Linked DNA regions of Saccharomyces cerevisiae S288C. The gene in region 2 interacts genetically with the main gene of each other region. Each region holds a gene or a part of one and is shown on either strand. Other genes may lie near its edges. The genes, in order: CHS6, TPM1, BEM2 and RGD1.

Evidence for each region.
Region 1: mutations in TPM1 (region 2) and CHS6 together harm fitness more than expected from each alone (negative genetic interaction), as found in Saccharomyces cerevisiae (4 studies listed by BioGRID).
Region 3: mutations in TPM1 (region 2) and BEM2 together harm fitness more than expected from each alone (negative genetic interaction), as found in Saccharomyces cerevisiae (5 studies listed by BioGRID, with this or other methods).
Region 4: mutations in TPM1 (region 2) and RGD1 together harm fitness more than expected from each alone (negative genetic interaction), as found in Saccharomyces cerevisiae (3 studies listed by BioGRID).

What each region holds. Positions count from the first base shown.
Region 1 is NC_001142.9:237,741-242,424, forward strand, and holds CHS6 (Chs6p), read left to right. Parts: upstream 1-1,673; coding exon 1,674-3,914; downstream 3,915-4,684. Other genes in the region: 1-phosphatidylinositol 4-kinase LSB6, read left to right, coding at 1-1,346; SAP185 (Sap185p), read left to right, coding at 4,342-4,684. UniProt on the Saccharomyces cerevisiae protein: Member of the CHS5-ARF1P-binding proteins (CHAPS) which mediates export of specific cargo proteins, including chitin synthase CHS3.
Region 2 is NC_001146.8:477,780-480,979, reverse strand, and holds TPM1 (tropomyosin TPM1), read left to right. Parts: upstream 1-1,814; coding exon 1,815-2,414; downstream 2,415-3,200. Other genes in the region: NIS1 (Nis1p), read right to left, coding at 1-1,212; EOS1 (Eos1p), read left to right, coding at 2,948-3,200.
Region 3 is NC_001137.3:476,740-484,951, reverse strand, and holds the start of BEM2 (GTPase-activating protein BEM2), read left to right. Parts: upstream 1-2,103; coding exon 2,104-8,212. Other genes in the region: Golgi transport complex subunit COG3, read right to left, coding at 1-164; MYG1 (Myg1p), read left to right, coding at 611-1,627. UniProt on the Saccharomyces cerevisiae protein: GTPase-activating protein (GAP) for RHO1 and RHO2. Involved in the control of cellular morphogenesis. Required for proper bud site selection and bud emergence.
Region 4 is NC_001134.8:731,837-736,450, reverse strand, and holds RGD1 (GTPase-activating protein RGD1), read left to right. Parts: upstream 1-1,811; coding exon 1,812-3,812; downstream 3,813-4,614. Other genes in the region: glycine hydroxymethyltransferase SHM1, read right to left, coding at 1-187; MIC12 (Mic12p), read left to right, coding at 411-731; TAE1 (N-terminal protein methyltransferase), read left to right, coding at 921-1,619; YBR259W (uncharacterized protein), read right to left, coding at 3,998-4,614.

The DNA.
Region 1 (4,684 bases), on a different chromosome or scaffold from region 2:
TTGGACGCGAACTCGAGAGAATCCAAACTGGCTCAAGTGGGTCGTACTTTGTGTATGGAACACGGGCCGACGAAAGCGTTCCGGTGGGGGTCTTCAAGCCCAAGGATGAGGAACCATATGGCCCATTTTCTCCCAAATGGACCAAATGGGCACACCGCACGTTTTTCCCATGTCTGTTTGGCAGAAGTTGTCTGATTCCAAACCTCGGGTACATCTGTGAAAGTGCGGCTAGTTTGTTGGATAGGCGACTGGAAACGCATCTAGTACCCTATACAGATACTGCATCTATAGAGTCTTTTAATTTTTATGATAATAGAAAAAAATGGGTATTGGGATACAACCTTCAGAAGAAGAAACAAAAAAAGCTGGGTTCTTTCCAACTTTTTTTGAAGGAGTACATCAACGCCGATGAGTTCTTTCATAAATACCCATTACCTGGGATGTATTCAGATGTTAAACATTCATTTCATCGTAAGTCATCCGGCGAAGATATCAATCATAAACCAGAGACAACCAGGAACCTAACAGATGAGACAGAACCGTCCAAGCAAATAAATTCCTCTCCAATTTCGACGGAATCTGAAGAAAATTCGAAATTTGAATGGACAGAATCAAGTTTGAGTCAGTTCAGATTGGAACTAGAAAAACTAATTATCCTTGATTATATAATGAGAAACACAGATAGAGGTCTAGACAATTGGATGGTGAAACTAATCAAACTTTCAAACAATAAGTGGAGACTCAAGTTAGCCGCCATCGACAATGGGTTGTCCTTTCCCTGGAAGCATCCTGATGAGTGGCGTCTGTACCCATATGGCTGGTTGTATTTGCCTCTGCAACTACTAGCCAAACCATTTTCTGAGCAAATGAGATCTCATTTCCTACCGATATTGACAAGCACTAATTGGTGGGAAGAGTCGTACCAAGAATTCTTGGCCCTATTTAGCAGGGACCAAGATTTTAACGTCCGAATGTGGAAGAAGCAATGGGCAGTATTAAAAGGACAGGCGTTCAACGTTGTCGAAACATTGAAAGACCCACGACAAGGCCCCTTGGAATTGGTTAGAAGGACAAGGTGCCAGGTAATAGATGAGAAGATGCAAGTTCCCTGTTGCCCACCTCCAGTTTCTATTTTCAAAAACGCCATAGACGAACCTATTGGATCATATTCCACTTCACCAATGGTACTCCCTAGCACCCCAAGCACAATTCCATTTCATGCACATAACCAAAGCAATAGTAATCCTGTATACTATGATTCCACTCTGCACCCATTTGCTAATAAAACAGTGATAGCAGAGCGGCTACAAATAGTCAATTCCACCCCCGTATTCACCTGGTGTTGATTTTTTGGAAAATAATTCAATACATACTCAATATAAAGAAATCATAACTCTACTTTAGCATATAGGAAATAGACTCTTTCGAAAAAACCTCTTTCTGTAGTGTTAGAAAGCAACCGGCTATTATTTTTGTGTGTCTTCGAAAAATCGGAACCCAAACAGATCTTAGCGGATTCATGGTAAAAATAGCCTTGAAGAATTTAGGAAAATAAATAGATACTCAAAAAGGAATAGAGGATCTTAACAAATCATTACATTACTTAACTCACATTAAAAGCAAACACCTTTCTTAAGCTGTTGGTGCAAAAAAGGATTACATCTATTGCCCTTATGAATTTGTTTTGGCCATCGGAAACCAAAAAGCAAAATGAAATACCTGGTGGCGATTATACACCTGGGAACTCACCTTCAGTACAAAAGGGTTATCAATTCCTCAATCGAGACATATTTAAAAGTTGTCCACGAATTATGGAAAGGCAGTTTGGTGAGTGTCTGCACAATAGAACGCATTTAATCAAGGATTTAATTTCTTCTGGCAATGTTGGACTAGGTCCCATTGAGATTGTTCACATGTCCTACTTAAACAAACATGAAAAAGAAGAGTTTGGTGAATATTTCTACGTTACAGGGATCGAAGTTTCCGGTCCTGCAATGCCCGTAGAGTTTCTTGAAGTGCTAAAATCGAGTAAGCGGATTTCCAAAAATATATCGAATAATATCATATTGACTTATTGCTGTTTTAATTTTTTCAGCAATCTAGACATCCGTATTAGATACGATGCTGACGATACTTTCCAGACAACGGCAATTGACTGTAACAAGGAAACCACTGACCTGACCATGACAGAAAAAATGTGGGAAGAAACGTTCGCAAGTTCTGTCATCCGAGCGATAATAACAAATACTAATCCAGAGTTAAAACCTCCCGGTTTAGTAGAGTGTCCATTCTACGTTGGAAAAGATACTATCTCCTCTTGCAAAAAGATCATAGAATTACTCTGCCGATTCTTACCACGGTCACTGAATTGCGGGTGGGATTCTACCAAGAGTATGCAAGCCACCATTGTCAATAACTATTTAATGTATAGTTTAAAAAGTTTTATTGCAATCACGCCAAGCCTAGTGGATTTTACAATCGACTACCTGAAAGGACTTACCAAGAAAGATCCAATCCATGACATATACTACAAGACGGCTATGATCACAATTCTAGATCACATAGAAACAAAGGAGTTAGACATGATAACTATTTTAAATGAGACGCTCGACCCCCTTTTATCTCTGCTAAATGATTTACCGCCTCGCGATGCTGATTCAGCACGATTAATGAATTGCATGAGTGACTTGCTGAACATTCAAACAAATTTTTTGTTAAACAGGGGTGATTACGAACTAGCATTAGGCGTCTCTAACACATCAACCGAACTAGCCTTAGACTCTTTTGAATCTTGGTACAACCTAGCGAGATGCCACATCAAAAAAGAGGAGTATGAAAAGGCTCTCTTCGCAATAAATTCAATGCCTCGTTTGCGCAAAAATGATGGACACCTGGAAACAATGTACAGTAGGTTTCTTACCTCCAATTATTATAAAAAGCCATTGAATGGTACCCGCGAACACTACGACTTGACTGCAATGGAATTCACGAATCTCTCGGGAACGTTGAGGAATTGGAAAGAGGATGAGTTAAAACGGCAAATTTTTGGAAGAATCGCAATGATAAACGAAAAAAAAATCGGTTATACAAAGGAAATCTGGGATGATATTGCGATAAAGTTGGGTCCGATTTGTGGTCCACAATCTGTGAATCTGATTAATTATGTCTCCCCTCAAGAGGTCAAAAACATAAAAAATATCAATTTAATAGCAAGGAATACGATCGGCAAACAATTGGGATGGTTTAGTGGTAAAATATATGGGTTATTAATGGAAATTGTGAACAAAATTGGTTGGAATGGCTTATTAAACATCCGAACAGAAGCTTTCATGATGGAAACTGAATTCTATCAAGCTTCTAACAACATTATCGATGAAAACGGTCATATACCGATGGAATCCCGAAAGAAAAGGTTTTGTGAAGGGTGGCTAGATGATTTATTTTTAGATTTATATCAAGACTTGAAATTGAGCAAGATTAGCCTAAGCAATAAAGATGAAAAACACAGCGGATTAGAGTGGGAACTTTTGGGTTTGATCATGCTGCGTACCTGGCATTGGGAAGATGCCGTAGCTTGTCTAAGAACAAGCATAGTAGCTCGATTCGACCCCGTAAGTTGCCAGCAGCTGCTAAAAATATACCTGCAACCTCCAAAAAATATTCAAGAGGTTACATTACTAGACACAGATACCATAATAAGTTTATTAATTAAGAAAATATCATATGATTGCAGGTATTATAATTATTGCCAGATATTTAATCTGCAACTGCTAGAAAAGCTATGCAACGAATTGGGGACGCATATACTGCGTAATAAGATCCTTCTTCAACCTTCCATAGGAGACGAAATCATGGTCATGATCGATGCCATGCTTGCGTGGATAGCCGACCTAGATCACACAGTACAACCTTGAACAAAACGGTGCTCTTAGTATTATTATATAACCACTACGGTTGGATGGACTGAGGGTAAGGGTAACCGTATACCTTTTATTTTTTTTTTTACATTTTGAACTGGGAAGAAAATTTTTTTTGCGAGGGATTGACGGCTAACGCCAAAACACTCCGAAGAGAATGAGAAAAGCTTGGGCATCGCTCGAAGTCATCGAACGGGACTATTTTTGTTTAAAATTTCACCAGATCTGCTTGATAAGGGTAGTTTAGCTTGTGTATTTGGGAAAGGTACGCAAAAGATATATTTTACTAAGATCTTTAAATATTTTTAGCTTGAGGTAATACATGCTAATTTTAGTTGATTAGAGATTCTGAAAAATTCGTTTTAGTTAGTGTTTAAGAATAGTGGCGTTTATCGTTTTGCCCATTTAATAATTAGGAAAAAATATGTCAGGGTCCTTTTGGAAGTTTGGACAAGATTTTGGTTCACAGTCTCCATTAGCTAAACTGTTGAACAGGGCTTTCATTAAGATCGATGATAAGCCCACTAGTACGGAAGCAGGGAAAATTGACTCTAATAGCACAGATGAAAGTTTAGAAAGCAATTCTTTTAAATCAGAAGACGAAGAAGAAGAATATGAGCTGCCTAACAGAGAAGAAGACTACAAAGCTTATAAGCCAAACCTGTCTCTACTGAATGATCTTTTAGATGATGAGGAGTTATATACAGAACTGATGTGCTCGAACTTCAAGCTACTAGTGTACTTGAAGTACCCTGAAGTTTTGTCCA
Region 2 (3,200 bases):
GCTACTAAGTATACTATCGTCTTGACTGTCGGGTATAATTATAGGATTGCTTTTGGTCTCACCTGCCATCTGGAAGAGACTTGAAGGAGTAGATAAAAGGGACATGTCTAAGTCGCTGGCGTTAGAAGAGCAGACAGAGCTTTCATTCGATGCTGAACCCGGAGAGCAAAGCAAAGTCAGGCGCAGTTGCGTCCTCTGTGTTATAACCAGCATTAAGTATTCTCTCCACAGTTCCAACAGCAGTTGCTCCTTTCTTGCATGCGATTTGGTGTTCAATTTTCCTCTTCTTTTTGGGTGGTACAACACACTAGGGGAAGTATTGGACCGCCCCACATTCTTGTTATAAACAGATCTTGTGGTTGGGGTCGTTGAATTCTGTTTAATTGTTTTCGTCGCCGTCGCAGGCATAGTCGTCGGGAGACTACCTGGTTGTGATTTGGGTAGTTTCCTACTTATGGAGCGGTTCCTTAGATACGGTGGACGACTACTGGTTGCATACATCTGGCTTCTTAAAAATGGGATAGGAGTTACCGCAGGGTCCCTGCTAGTGAGATTTCTGATAGCGTGTAAGTTTACCGGTTGCGAAGCCAGGACATTTGCAATATCCATTTGTTCCAGTTCTATATAGTTCAAAACGGATGTCAGCTCCTTCTTGCTCCTGAATCTTGACCGTACCTTTGCTTGCCTGTCTTCCCTGCGTATGGAGTGTTGCCTCTTCAAAAACCCTTTGTGAAAAATGAAATTATGATTCTTGCTGAACTTGGAGAGTTCATTTTTGCTGGTAAAGTCTGTTCTTCGTTGTGAAGTGTGTCGAATTGGCTTTGCGTTTATGGTAGGAGAGCGAGACCTCATCTTATAATTCGACCATTGCGTAAACTGTTCCATCACTTCAGTGCTTTCAACCTGGTCCGCTTTGCTTATGTTACGGTTCCTCAAGTGCGAAGCATCGTGGTACTCCATATATGGTTTGAAGCTGTCGTGTGTTATATGAGAGTCATCCGATATTTGCACTATAGGAATCTTGGTATCTGAATTTGAATTTGTGTTCGAATTTGTGTTCGAATTTGTGTTCGAGTTCGAGTTCGAGTTCGATGTAGAATCCACAAGCGCATGTATATAACCTGAAGTGGTAAACCCACCGGTACCCAGGGGAGGTGGGAACAAAGTCGGGGGATAAGACTGAGTCCCAATGCTAGTCTCGTATGTCTCCATTGTCTGTATGGTTGTATTTCAAGACGTATCTGCAAGAAAACTGATGTTTGCGAGTTAGGAACAGGGAAAAATACATGAATTAAGAAATACGAACGATCTTAACTATTTTCAACAGTACCTGAAACATGGATGTAAAAACGTAGAAGATACCCGAATAAAGTGGGGCGCACACCGGACTTGAAACCACTCCTCCTTTACCAAGCACTAATTTAAGCTAATCTAATTTAACGCAGTACATTTTGTATGCGCGGCAGCAGCTTAATACATTGCTGTCATTCACTAATGGAAAAAAAAAAAAAAAAAAAAAATCAAAATATAAAAATAAATATTAAGAACTTAAAAAGACAAACCAGCCATCGCGTGGCGCTAGCACATATATCTTACCCGACGGAGAGCCGGGTAAAGAAGTCGGGTAACCATTAAAATAAAAAATCAGCACACCATAGCACGATCTACGAGAAACGGAAAAGTGTTAGAGATCACATACTGCATACTTGGCAAGAAGAAGGTTCGTTTTTCCCTTCTGATACTGTAAAAGATTAGGTTGGTAGAAGAAATCTACATAGTAGAACTCACACCCCATACACACAAAAAAGGCAACAATGGACAAAATCAGAGAAAAGCTAAGCAACTTGAAGTTGGAAGCCGAATCATGGCAGGAGAAGTACGAGGAGTTGAAAGAGAAGAACAAGGACTTGGAGCAAGAGAACGTCGAAAAGGAGAATCAGATCAAGTCTTTAACCGTCAAAAACCAGCAATTGGAGGATGAGATCGAGAAGCTGGAAGCGGGACTTTCTGACTCTAAGCAAACAGAACAGGATAACGTTGAAAAAGAAAATCAGATCAAGTCCTTGACGGTGAAGAACCACCAATTGGAGGAAGAGATCGAGAAGTTGGAAGCAGAATTGGCTGAATCCAAGCAATTGTCCGAGGACTCTCACCACTTGCAGTCCAACAACGACAATTTCTCCAAGAAGAACCAGCAATTGGAAGAAGACTTGGAGGAAAGCGACACCAAGCTAAAGGAAACCACTGAGAAATTGAGAGAGTCCGACTTGAAGGCAGATCAATTGGAAAGAAGAGTAGCTGCCTTGGAAGAACAAAGAGAAGAATGGGAAAGAAAGAACGAGGAATTGACCGTCAAGTACGAAGACGCAAAGAAGGAACTGGACGAAATTGCTGCATCTCTGGAAAACTTGTGATCTACTTTTGTTTTTTGTTTTCTTTTTCTTTTCCCCAACACGCTGGTCTTTGTTCCTTGTTCTTGAGCAAATCAAACGCTCATGGGCAAACGAAACTAAAATAAGAACCATTTATACAAATACAATAGCTTAGACTATACATCTGTATACTTTTCCCTTGAAGATGTTTTTGTTCTTTACCGTTTGCGTGCTGATTTATGATGTTTTTACATTGGGCGTTATTACCCGAGCGGCGTTTTGTTCGTGGGACTCACACTTGTGCCTGCTCCCATGTTAAGTTTTGCACGGTTTATCACATGGACAAAGGCATTCTCATATTACACAGCTACATGTGATATATATCGGGCGTTTCCACGTGTACAAGAACCTGAAAAGTTTATCGGAAGACTAAGTTTTGGGTTGCCCACCGTCTGTGCATCTACGTGAACACACCAGGGTTTCTCATTTCTTTTTTCTTTAAGTTTTTTTTCTCTTCCCTTCCCTTCCTTTGGTCAAATAATCTTATTTGATTCTTCAGGGTTTTAAAAAACCAGATGACGTGGATACTAAGTACTGGTATGGGCCCTCATGAGGACAAGTATGCCAAGCATGAGCGAGCGACCTTTAAAAAGACGTACAGTTCTATGAAAACGCTGTCTTTGAATCATTTAACTGCCAAGCAGCATATGCTGATGGCCTTATGCAGGGACATATCCCTTTTACCGCCGTTAACTTACATCTTCACATCTCTGCGGAAGGCTTGGAGAGTCTCCATGCGCACCAGCATAACGCTTTACGAGCCACAAT
Region 3 (8,212 bases), on a different chromosome or scaffold from region 2:
TCAGTTCTTTGCAGACTGTCAGAATTTTCCACAGCCAAAGATAGCTTTTTTAGCTTATCAAAAAGGTACGAATCGTCCAGTAAACCCACTATGGTCTGAGATTCTGGTATAGTCGGATGAGACGCAATATCTCGAACCAATGAATTCTTTCTACTTCTCGCCATCTTTGGATGTGTCGATAATTCGTGCAATATTGGGTAAAACAATTCATGCTGGGAGTATTTATTGTGTGTCTATAAAGCCAAGACTTTACATAACAATGGACGCAACGACTGCCGTTATACAGGGTAACCTCAATTTGCGCCTCTATATTCTATATTAATACTACTTATGATCCATCCGCAGCTGATACTTAGAGTTACGAGGCAGAGCATCGAAAAATCTGAGCCCACCATTAAGTTGCAATATAAGTACGAATTTTCCTGCTCTTCTCTCGTCTTTGGATTACTGTATTCATTGATAAATCTCTATTATTTTTTTCAGTTTTTCACTTTCTTTTCGAGCGATGGGAACGGCAAATCACGAAAATTTTCTGTCAACGTAGAAAGTAATGATGTGTTAATACTATCGAAAAGCTGTGGAATTGAAGAGCCCAGCCCAAAAAGTCTGCATGAATAGCGTAAAAAGAGTAAAGCTAAATTCAAAAATGTCCAAACAAATATGCACGCATTCCGGATCTTTTCACGCGGACGAGTCGTTGGCGGTATACATGTTAAGGCTACTACCCGAATTTAAAGATGCTAAGTTGGTTAGATCAAGAAATCCCAAGGACTGGGAGGCTAGTGACATTCTAGTGGATGTAGGAGCTCAGTATGACGGCGTGAAATTTTTTGACCACCACCAGCGTGGATTTTTCGAAACTTTCAACGAGAAATACAAGACTAAGCTCTCAAGTGCTGGTCTGATCTTCAAACACTACGGTCGTGACATTATCAAAACAATTTTGAACAACAAGGTTAGCAGCTCTGATTTAGATCTGCTCTATGACAAGGTATACAAACAATTTGTCGAGGCACTGGATGCAAACGACAACGGTATTAGCAAGTACACGATTCCTAAGGATTCCAACTTGGAACCGAATTTCAGGGATAACGCCATCAGCATTCCCGGGATTATTTCAGGTATGAATCCTAACTGGAACGAAGACACTTCCGATGAGTCTTTTGACAGATGCTTTGCTCGCGCAAGTGAGTTTATCGGTGGGGTCTTTGTCACATTGGTAAGAGGCTACGGTCAATCGTGGTTGCCAGCCAAGGCCCTTGTGGCGCAAGCCATTGATGAAAGAATGGATGTTGATAAGAGTGGCAAAATCATTGTCTTGCCCCAATTCTGTCCATGGAAGGAGCATCTATACGAGCTGGAAAGAGAGAAGAACATTGAAAAGCAAATCGAGTTTGTTCTCTTCACAGACTCTTCTGGTGCCTGGAGGGTATCTACTGTACCAATCAACTCCACCTCCTTCCAGTTTAGGAGAGGTTTGCCGGAGCCATTAAGAGGCCTCAGAGACGAAGAGCTGAGCACCAAGAGCGGTGTGCCAGGATGTATCTTCATTCATGCAGCAGGTTTCATTGGAGGTGCCAAGTCCAAAGAGGCTGTATATGAGCTGGCTAAGATGTCTTTGGCCTAGTCGGGAGCGAGCGCTCAGTCAGGTCCCTTATCTATTTAATAATATTTAACAATTCCACTATTTATTCTGTATAGTAAGTAAATCTTTAATGCAAGCAAAAATCTTCCCGCCGCGAATCCTGAAACATATTCCCCTCGGTGAAACACGCTCTTGAAAATGACCTGAGAACACAAGATATCAGACGGCTCTTGTTGCACAAAAAACAAAAACAAAAGAAGCAAGCTACGTTGCAGCCACTGGTACTGTCTGCTAACTCAAACATTCTTTTTCATTTTTAATATACAGATTTCGTATTCTCCCGTTCCCGCTATACGCAATTTTCTTTCTTTTTTTTCCCTCTTTGGTTAGGAGACTGCAGATCAGTCCCATTTTTTCCAACAGAACAAACAAGCAAACGTTTCAGTTTAAAAGAACACACGGTCGTCGTGCCTTTTCTGGATAGACACAAAAAAAACAAATAACGAAGCAGGAGTCTAATGAAAGGTCTTCTCTGGTCTAAGAACAGGAAATCTTCAACGGCCAGTGCTAGTTCAAGCTCAACTTCCACGTCTCATAAGACAACTACTGCGTCTACAGCATCGTCGTCGTCGCCGTCATCATCCTCTCAAACTATTCGAAACTCGACAAGCGGTGCTTCTCCATACATGCATTCCCACCATCACCATGGCCAGGGACACAGTCACCACAGAGGGGAAGACAACAACAGAGATAAGAGAAAAAGCTCCGTATTTCCACCCTCCAAGCAGTACACATCCACTAGTTCCAGTCAGGTGAACTTGGGGATGTATCATTCGGATACTAACACCAGATCTTCTAGAAGCATAGCCTCTACGCTAAAAGACGATTCTCCGTCTGTCTGCTCCGAAGATGAAATAAGCAATTCTTCTAGCCAGAAGTCCAATGCCCAGGATGAGACTCCCATTGCGTACAAGAAGAGTGCCCATTCGAAAGACTCATTGTTGCCTTCACGTTCCTCGTCTTTATCACCTCCTCAGTCTCGATGTAGCACTGGAACTACGCTAGAGAAATCGTTGAACACTTCAGGTATCAGTAACAGTAGCGGCACTAATAATAACAATAGCAATAATAACAACGATAACGAGCAAAAGCAAAGAAATGTTATCCACTTAAACTCTGAAAACTATGATACAACTGTTTTTAAGACTGGATGGGTTAATAAGTCCCATGGCCAGACTGTTGCTACAAACTATAATAGCTCAATGACAGCCCCTTCCTCTTCCTCTTCGTCCTCCTCTCAGAATCTCCGTAATGATGCGTATTCTAGAAACAGGGAAAGCAGGTTTTATGGGAACGACGGTTCGTCTTTAAAAAATGATGACAGCAGTAGTACTACGGCCACTAACAGTGGCAATGATGTGGCCTCAGCAAGAAGCAGCATGGCTATAGATCCTCAAATGCTAGTACCTGATTACCGTCTTTATAGGGCTCAATTGAAAGGTTGCGTTCTCAACCTTTACAAAAGTGGTTTGAATAGTAACATTAAGTTTTTTGATCCAACTTTACCAGCTTCAAATAGTAGTATAGCAAATGAAAACCATCAACAGAAAAAACAACAAACAAACAACCAAGCACAAGCGGAAGCTCTGCACCAAAAGCAATCATTTGGCCAAATGGGTGAACCTATTACACTGGACCTGAAGTATTTATCTGAAGTTTACCCGCACCCAGATTTAAGACAAGACAGTGATGGTAAAATTATATCAGGCACAATAGAAAGTTTATGTCACACAGTCTTATTTTACCCCGGTCCAAAGCAATCGGACGTACCTAATGAGAAATCATTATCTAAGACACATAGAGCTGTTATTAATCTGTTATTGATGTTTCCATTACTAGATCATTTCATTAAGTTTCTAAAGGTATTCAACCAATTCGGTCTTTCTTTTACCAAGAATAAATCAAGATTGACAAATAATTCCACACAATTCTACAACATATCCCCTGCTGTCGATGACTCCATGACTCAAAGATTAGCTTTAACTGCTAAAACAATCCTTGATGTATTTCCGGGATTTTTGCTGGATGAACCAATGCTGAAGACTATAATTTCCTTATTAGATACTATATCTTTGCATAACGATGAAATTTCCAACAATTTGAAAATTAAAATCGCCAATAAACATAACGAATTAATGAAACTTACCGCATTCACTCGATCTCTTCCAATGGCAACATCATCTACACATGAATTAGAGATTATATTGGATCCAAGTCATTTCCTGTCTTTAGACATTACAACATTGGCTGATGAAGTTCATCATATCAATTTAAAGTTTGATAAAGTATGGGCACCGAAATTTGACTATTCTCTGCTGTATGATTCGAAGTTTATTAATCGAAGAATTGTCTCGTTAAATCCATTGGTATTCAACAACGACCAAAATATCCATTTTCTTGGAAGGCTACTAATATCACATTTATTTCCAACAAATCCTGAGTTTAGTAAAAAAGTGACTCCAAAAGTGAGAGCTGAGTTATTAGATAAATGGGTCCAAATTGGCTGTAGATTTGAACATTTAGGAGACATGGTATCATGGCTAGCTGTCGCCACTATCATTTGTTCAATTCCTGTACTAAGGTCATCTTCATGGAAATATGTTCCTGATCAGTCATTGAAAACTATTTTTAAAGATTGGGTTCCTACCATTATTCAGTTAGAGAGGCGACAAAGGACATCTAAATCTACAAGTAGTGTTTTCATACTCGCTCCTCCAAATCTGGATGACGACTTTACGAGAGCTAACGTGATTTCTTATTTTGGCGATTTATTAATTCATGCTGATGATTTACCATCTGATACGAAATTCAAGTACTTGGAAAAGAAAATTAACAGAACAAAAAACGCTTTTCATAAATGGCAACAAAGATTACAAGCAATCGACTCTACGAGACATAAAACTAATTCGACAGAAAACGTCAGGGATAATGATTCTCCTAATAACGTTGTTTATCAGCTCTGGAAATTTCATTTATCACAACCTCCGTTGAACATTGAAGGAATAATGAAATTAAGTGTCCAACACGAACCTCCAATAATCGACCAGAAAGCGTATTCTACTATTGGTTCTCAAAGGAGTGCTTTAGTAACTGGAAGTTATTTACCCATTTTATTCAATGAACTATTCCCAAATTATTCACTATTTCCTAAGAATACATTAGTGGGTGCTGCCAGTGATGCGAAGTTGCCGCCTCCAAGATCATCCGCGCGCCTCTCAAAATCACTTTCAATCAGTGAACCAATTCCAATAGCTTCAAACAGTCACACTATGGGCTCATTAACAGATGATGCTATGTCCTCAAAAAATGATAATAATAAAGTTACAGGTGTTGGAAAAATTGACGGACCTGTGATCAAAGAGATGTCGTCAAAACAATCAAATAAACAGAGACTATTAAAATCTGTGAGAGATGTTTTTAATATTGACATGGATGTGTTTCATATATCAGATGAGTTAGTATTTAAATCGGTATACGATAATGATGGTAAATCCCGTCCTGCTAGTATGGTCATAGAAACACCAAAGAGATTCTCACAACACTCTTCCATGCTTATTAATAATCCAGCTACTCCAAACCAAAAGATGAGAGATTCCTTGGATACCACTGGAAGACTAAGTAAGACATTAGAAAATATGGACTTTTTCAACAATATTGGTCAAGTATCAGATTCACTAAAAGAATCGATTATTCGTGTCGTATTGAAATCGTCGTCGCTAGAAAAGATTTTTGATTTACTGGTATTAACTTCAAATATCTTTTCAAAATTGGTAGACACTAAAGACCTTGAGAATTATTACTATCATCAAAGACAAAGGGGTCATTCTACCAGAGGGCTTTCCGATGATAACATAGGACTACTAGATTATGCATTCGTTAAACTAACTATGGACAATGATATTTTCACAGAAACATTCTTCAACACTTATAAAAGCTTTACTACTACAACTACGGTATTAGAAAATATGGCAAAACGGTATGTTGGTGCAAAGAGTTGCAGCGTGTCAATTTCCAAGATTTTAGATCGCAGTGATGATTCTAAAATGAAGATAAATGAGGATACAAATTTAGTGTCCTCTTCATTATACGACCAAAATTTTCCTGTTTGGGATATGAAAGTAACTGACGATGAAAACATAAACCTTATTTATATGGCAAAAATCCAAATCGGCGCCGCGGAAGCTATACTACATTTAGTGAAAAATCATTACTCTGACTTTACTGACGATTTATGTAACAACTCTACTCTATTGGATATTATAAAAATAATGGAACAAGAAGTATCCACTGAATGGCCTACGCGAATTGCAAACTCAAAGTTACAAAAAAGCCTACCAGAAAATTTTGTGATTGAAACAGAAAATTTGTTGACTACGTTAACTGATCTATTTCATGGTATTAAATCAGCATACCAAAAGCAACTATACAGACCTATTGGTGTCAATAGAACTCAGAAGAGAATAACTGACATTTTGAATTCCTTTAACACATTCTCTTTTACAGATCTTAACAACATCATTGATGATCCTTCCTTTAGCGATGACATGATTAGATCTTTTCAAAAGTTACACTCAACCAATTACGAAGATATACTAGAATGGATCTACCAGTTAGATAACTTTATTTCTAAGAAGTTCAATTTAGTTTCTAAGAAAGATTGGATAGTTCTTTTCCAGGAGTTGGAATTGCTTTCAAAGGAATCTCTGGTCTCTTTTTTCAATTATCCGCTACATTTTAAGTCAAGCAAATTGATAAACCCCGGATATTTGCAATTGCACGAGTTTGAAATTTCCAATCTTTTTACTTGGATTTCTACATTGATTCTTAAGGATGATAATGGTACGGAGAGTCTTTTTTTTGAAAAACTACCACAATCTATAAAATTGTTAATAAAGTTACACACGAGTCTAACTACGTTTTTCGTGATGGAAATTTCAAACGTCAACAAAAGCAGTAGTGAAAGGTTAACTACTTGTAAAGTTATATTACAAATTTTGAACTACATCCGCTGGAAAAACGGAAGTTTGGATTTATTTGATTCAGAGGAGGATGAAAGTCCTCATGCTATTTGTCCACACATTCCAGCTTTTATTGAAACTGCTATTGCGCATGCCATAATATCACCAGAGTCTAGAAACTATGAACTTTCGTGGATCAAAGCTTCTGAAAAACTTTCGGACCCTACTAAAGGAACCCAAAATCTAAGATCGATTAGTAACGTTTTAGAGAAGATAGATGACATACATATAAAGAGATTCATTGAGATTGATGATGTATTCAGCAAAAACTGCAAGAATTTATGCCCCTGCCCTGGTTGGTTCATTTCAAGGTTACTAGAAATATCTCAGTTTGTCCCTAACATGAGTATCACTAATTCGAAACTTATTAATTTTGACAAAAGGAGATTTGTTAACAACATAATATCTAATGTCTTGGATTTAATTCCGAACGAAAGGGAGTTTCCACTTGATATTGAAATGAGTGACGAAAATCCTTCGAAAAGAACTACATTTGGCCGCATTCTGTTCAATAATTTTGAAGATGTTAATAAAGTATACAGAAAGAAGACTAAAAAAGTATCAGAATCAGAAGCCATATCGGAGAGATTTCAAGAGCAGGGAGTATTTAATGAAATACTAGTCAATGAAATTGAAAAAATAAAGAGGGAAGCCAGAAAATTAGAGGTTTTACTCGATCAAGAAAAGATCTTGAAGAACTCTGCTGCTTTACATCAGGCCGTTCCGAAAAAGAATAGGAAGTCTGTTATTATCTCAGGTACTCATAGTGACAACGATCATAGCTATAATATCAATAAGAACACCGGTCAAACGCCTTCTCTAGGTAGTGTTATGGAAAGCAATAATTCAGCAAGGAATAGAAGAGATTCAAGGGCCTCCTTTTCCACAAATAGATCATCAGTAGTGTCAAATTCCAGCCATAATGGTGTTAGTAAAAAAATAGGTGGATTTTTCAGAAGACCATTTTCAATCGGTGGATTCAACACATCCAGTTCTAATTATTCACTCAACAGTATATTATCGCAAGAAGTTTCAAGTAACAAATCCATTCTACCAAGTATACTTCCAGAGGTTGATTCCATGCAACTACACGACTTAAAACCTAGTTATAGTTTGAAGACCTTTGAAATCAAGTCAATAATGGAAATAATCAATCACAGAAACATTCCGGCTTACTACTATGCGTTCAAGATAGTTATGCAAAATGGCCATGAATATCTGATTCAAACGGCTAGTTCTAGTGACCTCACAGAATGGATAAAAATGATCAAGGCTTCCAAGAGATTTTCATTCCATTCGAAAAAATATAAAGGTAAAACTCATAATAAGATATTTGGGGTACCATTAGAAGACGTTTGTGAAAGAGAGAATACCTTGATACCTACAATTGTTGTGAAATTGCTGGAAGAGATTGAGCTGCGTGGGCTAGATGAAGTGGGATTGTACAGAATTCCTGGTTCCATCGGCAGTATAAATGCACTAAAGAACGCATTTGACGAAGAAGGTGCAACAGATAATTCCTTTACATTAGAGGACGATAGATGGTTTG
Region 4 (4,614 bases), on a different chromosome or scaffold from region 2:
AGTTTTCTGATGGGATAAGGGTGATAGAGTGTTTTTGTCTGTGACGTTCTTGTTGCAAGATGTCAAACATCTCTGGATCTCCCTCCGAGACTGGTTTGGAGACTAGCGATTGTGCACCACTGGTGAGTAGCCCACGACGATGAACAGTTGCCATACATTTGGCCAATGCAGAAGCTCTGGGAAACATGATTGAAAGACTATGAGACTCGATGTGGAAATGTCGGCTTGATGATTTTTGATAGTTTGCTCTTCTCCAAGAGGCGATGGCTTTTAGTATTTTTTTTCTCATTGACCACCAATAAGCGAAGTACCTAAAAAAAAATAATGAGTCTTTTTTATATTCTATCTCTTGGACAGAAGGGGGACAGAACAGACAGTGGACTAAGAACCAGCAGATAACGGAGAGAATCATGTCGAAATTGGGTCCGTTAGCAAGATCTGTGAAGTGGACTCTCTCTGTGGGAGTAATCGGTTCTGTTTTTTACCTGTACCGATACAGTAACAATGGCTACTTCTACGATCACGATGCTACATGGTTGAAACAAGATCATCAGGTACAGGACCTGGTGGATAGAAAAGAAGTGGTACCTGGGGAGACCAGGAACCGCAAGCTAGTTGTGACGGATGATGGCACTGCATGGAGCAGGACCATGGGGGAGAGCATAAAAGATATTTGGAATGAACAGATAAGAAACTCTGTCGATTGGATCTACTCCTGGGGTAAGAATTAGCGAGCTTTCTATTTCTCCTACTGTAACGAACATCCTCATGTATATAACCTATTGTAACGACTCTGTGTAGAACTTTATATTCAGAAAAAATATCAAAAGAAAAATTTAATTATTAATCAGTACTTTTCACTCTGGTAATGTGCATCGGTGTCAAGAGCATCTCCAAGAAAGAATACATAAACAACAACGATGGACGTGCCTGCAGATTCCCATATCAAATACGAAGATGCCATCGACTATTGGACGGATGTGGACGCCACTGTGGATGGTGTTCTAGGTGGATACGGAGAAGGTACAGTAGTACCCACAATGGATGTCCTGGGATCCAATAACTTCCTGCGTAAACTGAAGTCGAGGATGCTGCCTCAGGAGAACAACGTGAAGTACGCTGTAGACATTGGTGCGGGGATTGGACGTGTAAGCAAGACCATGCTTCACAAGCACGCCGCTAAGATAGACCTTGTAGAACCGGTAAAGCCTTTTATCGAGCAAATGCACGTTGAATTGGCTGAGCTGAAAGACAAAGGCCAAATTGGACAAATATATGAAGTAGGGATGCAGGACTGGACCCCCGATGCCGGCAAGTACTGGCTGATCTGGTGCCAATGGTGCGTGGGACACCTGCCAGATGCAGAACTCGTCGCATTCCTGAAAAGATGTATTGTTGGTTTGCAACCTAATGGGACAATCGTGGTCAAAGAAAATAACACACCTACAGATACCGATGATTTCGACGAAACGGATTCTTCGGTCACAAGGTCAGATGCTAAGTTCAGGCAAATCTTCGAAGAAGCTGGCCTAAAGCTCATCGCCAGTGAAAGACAACGTGGCTTACCAAGAGAATTGTACCCAGTGAGGATGTACGCACTCAAGCCCATGCCAAACTAGGATCAAGGATGCATAGATTTATATAGATACGCCCCTTTTCTTGTGCTGGCATTCACCATTTGTGCCATTATATAGACTTTTTTTTCGATATATATGGAAAAAGAACCCAGAAAATAAAGAATGTGAACAAAATAGTATGTAAAGTAAAAACATACAATCTCGGAAGATTAAAAGAGAAGTGATATAGACAAGATGGAAGAGACTGCGAAGAAACCAGCTAGTGCCACAGTAAGTGCGAAGTCGTCGCACGATGGTGGCACCGACGATTTGGCGCACCTTTTTAGCACGCCAGAGATCAAGAAGGTGCTAAATTCCGATGTGGCAATTAACGCTTTGTTGAGCCGTTTAAAGCAGTCGTTGTTGACTTGTGAAGAGTTTATGAAATTTATTAGAAAGAAATACGCCTTCGAAGAAGAGCACGTTCAGGAGCTCTCCAAGCAATATAAGCACTTTTTCAACATTCAGGGTTCCACAAATTCATCCTTAAAAAAGATGATTCACGAAGTTTTGGGATTCGATGGCAAGATGGCTCAAGTAAAGCAGAGTTATATCACCGCCTTGCAGAAAATGTACTCCGAGATTAGTAGTCTTTTATTAACAATGACAAAATTAAGAAAGTCTGTCAAGGAGAACAGCAAAAGGCTGGAAAAGGATGTTTCTGATGCCATACACAGCGCAGAAAAGGCGCAATCTCGTTACAATTCGTTGTGCCAAGATTGGGACAAATTGAGGATGACTGACCCAACAAAAACAAAGCTGACCTTGAGAGGTTCCAAAACTACGAAGGAACAAGAAGAAGAATTGTTAAGAAAAATCGATAACGCCGATCTGGAATATAAGCAAAAAGTAGATCATTCTAATTCTTTGAGAAACACATTCATAACGAAGGAGAGACCTAGAATTGTTCAAGAATTAAAAGATTTGATTTTAGAAATAGACACAGCGATGACTATCCAATTGCAGAAGTACACGATATGGACGGAAAATTTGGTTCTGAATACAGGTGTTACAATAAGCCCATTGGACTCCACCAAATCTATGAAATCATTTGCTGGATCTGTTTCCAATGAACGTGATCTTTACAGTTTTTTGAACAAGTATAACCAAACAGGAAAACATTCCCTACTGATCAACAAAAACTTGATCCCTGTATCATACAAAAAGCATCCATCAATGAATCATGGTCAGAAAAATAAGAGCCCCCCAAAGTTTGCCGTGGACCCTTCAAGAAACTCCATCCCGAAGAGAATGATATCCACTCATAATGAATCTCCATTTTTGAGCAGTAGTAGTAACACTGCCGCTGTTCCGAATGCTAATCTTAACAGTGCTACACCGTCCTTAAATACCAACAAGCAGTTACCACCTACTATGGCTTCATCTATTTCTTCCACTAGCAATGCGGCTGGCGCTATGTCACCGTCTTCTTCCATTGTAACAAGCGACACCACATCATCCATAACAAAGACCCTGGATCCTGGCAACAATAGTCCACAAATTCCAGAAGAATTGATTAACTCTTTAGACTCGGATCGCCCGATTTCTCACATTCAGACTAACAACAATATGCCACCCGGTGTTCAAAAAAATTTCAAAACATTTGGTGTACCGCTAGAATCACTGATAGAATTCGAACAAGACATGGTCCCTGCGATAGTGCGCCAATGCATATACGTTATTGATAAATTTGGGCTTGATCAAGAAGGAATTTATAGAAAATCGGCAAATGTACTTGATGTCAGCAAGTTGAAGGAGGAAATTGATAAGGATCCCGCAAACATTTCCATGATTCTACCATCAAAGCCACATTCTGATTCGGATATTTATTTAGTAGGATCACTGCTGAAAACTTTTTTTGCGTCGCTGCCTGATAGTGTTTTACCAAAGGCCCTATCATCGGAGATCAAGGTTTGTTTACAAATTGAAGACCCAACAACAAGAAAAAATTTTATGCACGGACTAATATATAACCTCCCCGACGCACAATACTGGACGTTAAGGGCTCTTGTCTTTCATTTGAAAAGAGTGTTGGCACATGAAGCCCAAAACAGAATGAATTTAAGGGCTCTTTGTATAATTTGGGGTCCAACTATTGCGCCTGCAAATCCAGATGACGCTAATGATGTAAATTTTCAAATTATGGCAATGGAAGTATTATTAGAGGTTTCAGATCAAGCTTTTGAGCCTGAATAAACATAGCACTTATGATATTTTCATTCCGTCTTTAATTTCCACTTGTATGTACATTGACGCTGTTATCAGATTTAAGTAAAAACAAAGGAAAATTATATATTGAGAAAAAAAAAAATTCTGTTGTACTATTCCATAATAATTTACTACAAAACTTGCTAAGGTCCAACTCCCTGTCTTCACGGTTGTTAAATTAACCTTATTAATGATGTTTTCTGTCCATCCCTTTTGTACTTAAAATTAAATGCGTAAAACTTTTGTCCTTTTTCGTTCTCTTTCAACAACAATAGTTTCAATTTTGTTAGCCTGTTCAAATTGTACAATAAGATTTCATTCCGTTTACTTGTCGGTAAAACAGCTAATTTTTCCTGTATGCTAGTTAATGATAAGGAATCAACTTCATTATATAAGTACAATATGCTCGTAGTACACATGTTGGAAACGAGTTTCAAATGCGTATTTCTTGTAGTATCGATAATAATTGGTAGTTCAATTTCAAAAAGGTGGAATGCAAATGCGTCTTGCAAAATTTGACCCCTCTTTAATTGCTTATTCGCGAAATCTGGCCAACTATTCGCAATTGATTGGTTAGGCCAAAATGGTTCATTGAAATCTTTGTTAACTTCAGATAGTGACTTAAATTCTTTGTAGGACAAAATAATGACACCAGATGAAGTTTTGTCATCACTTGTCACTGTTACATTTTTGAGTGATTCTATGCTAGACTTGATCAAATTATTTATCGCATGTACCAAAGAGGGTTCTAGAATTTGGAGAGATTCTATTACTAGCCGTTCCAAGCAAC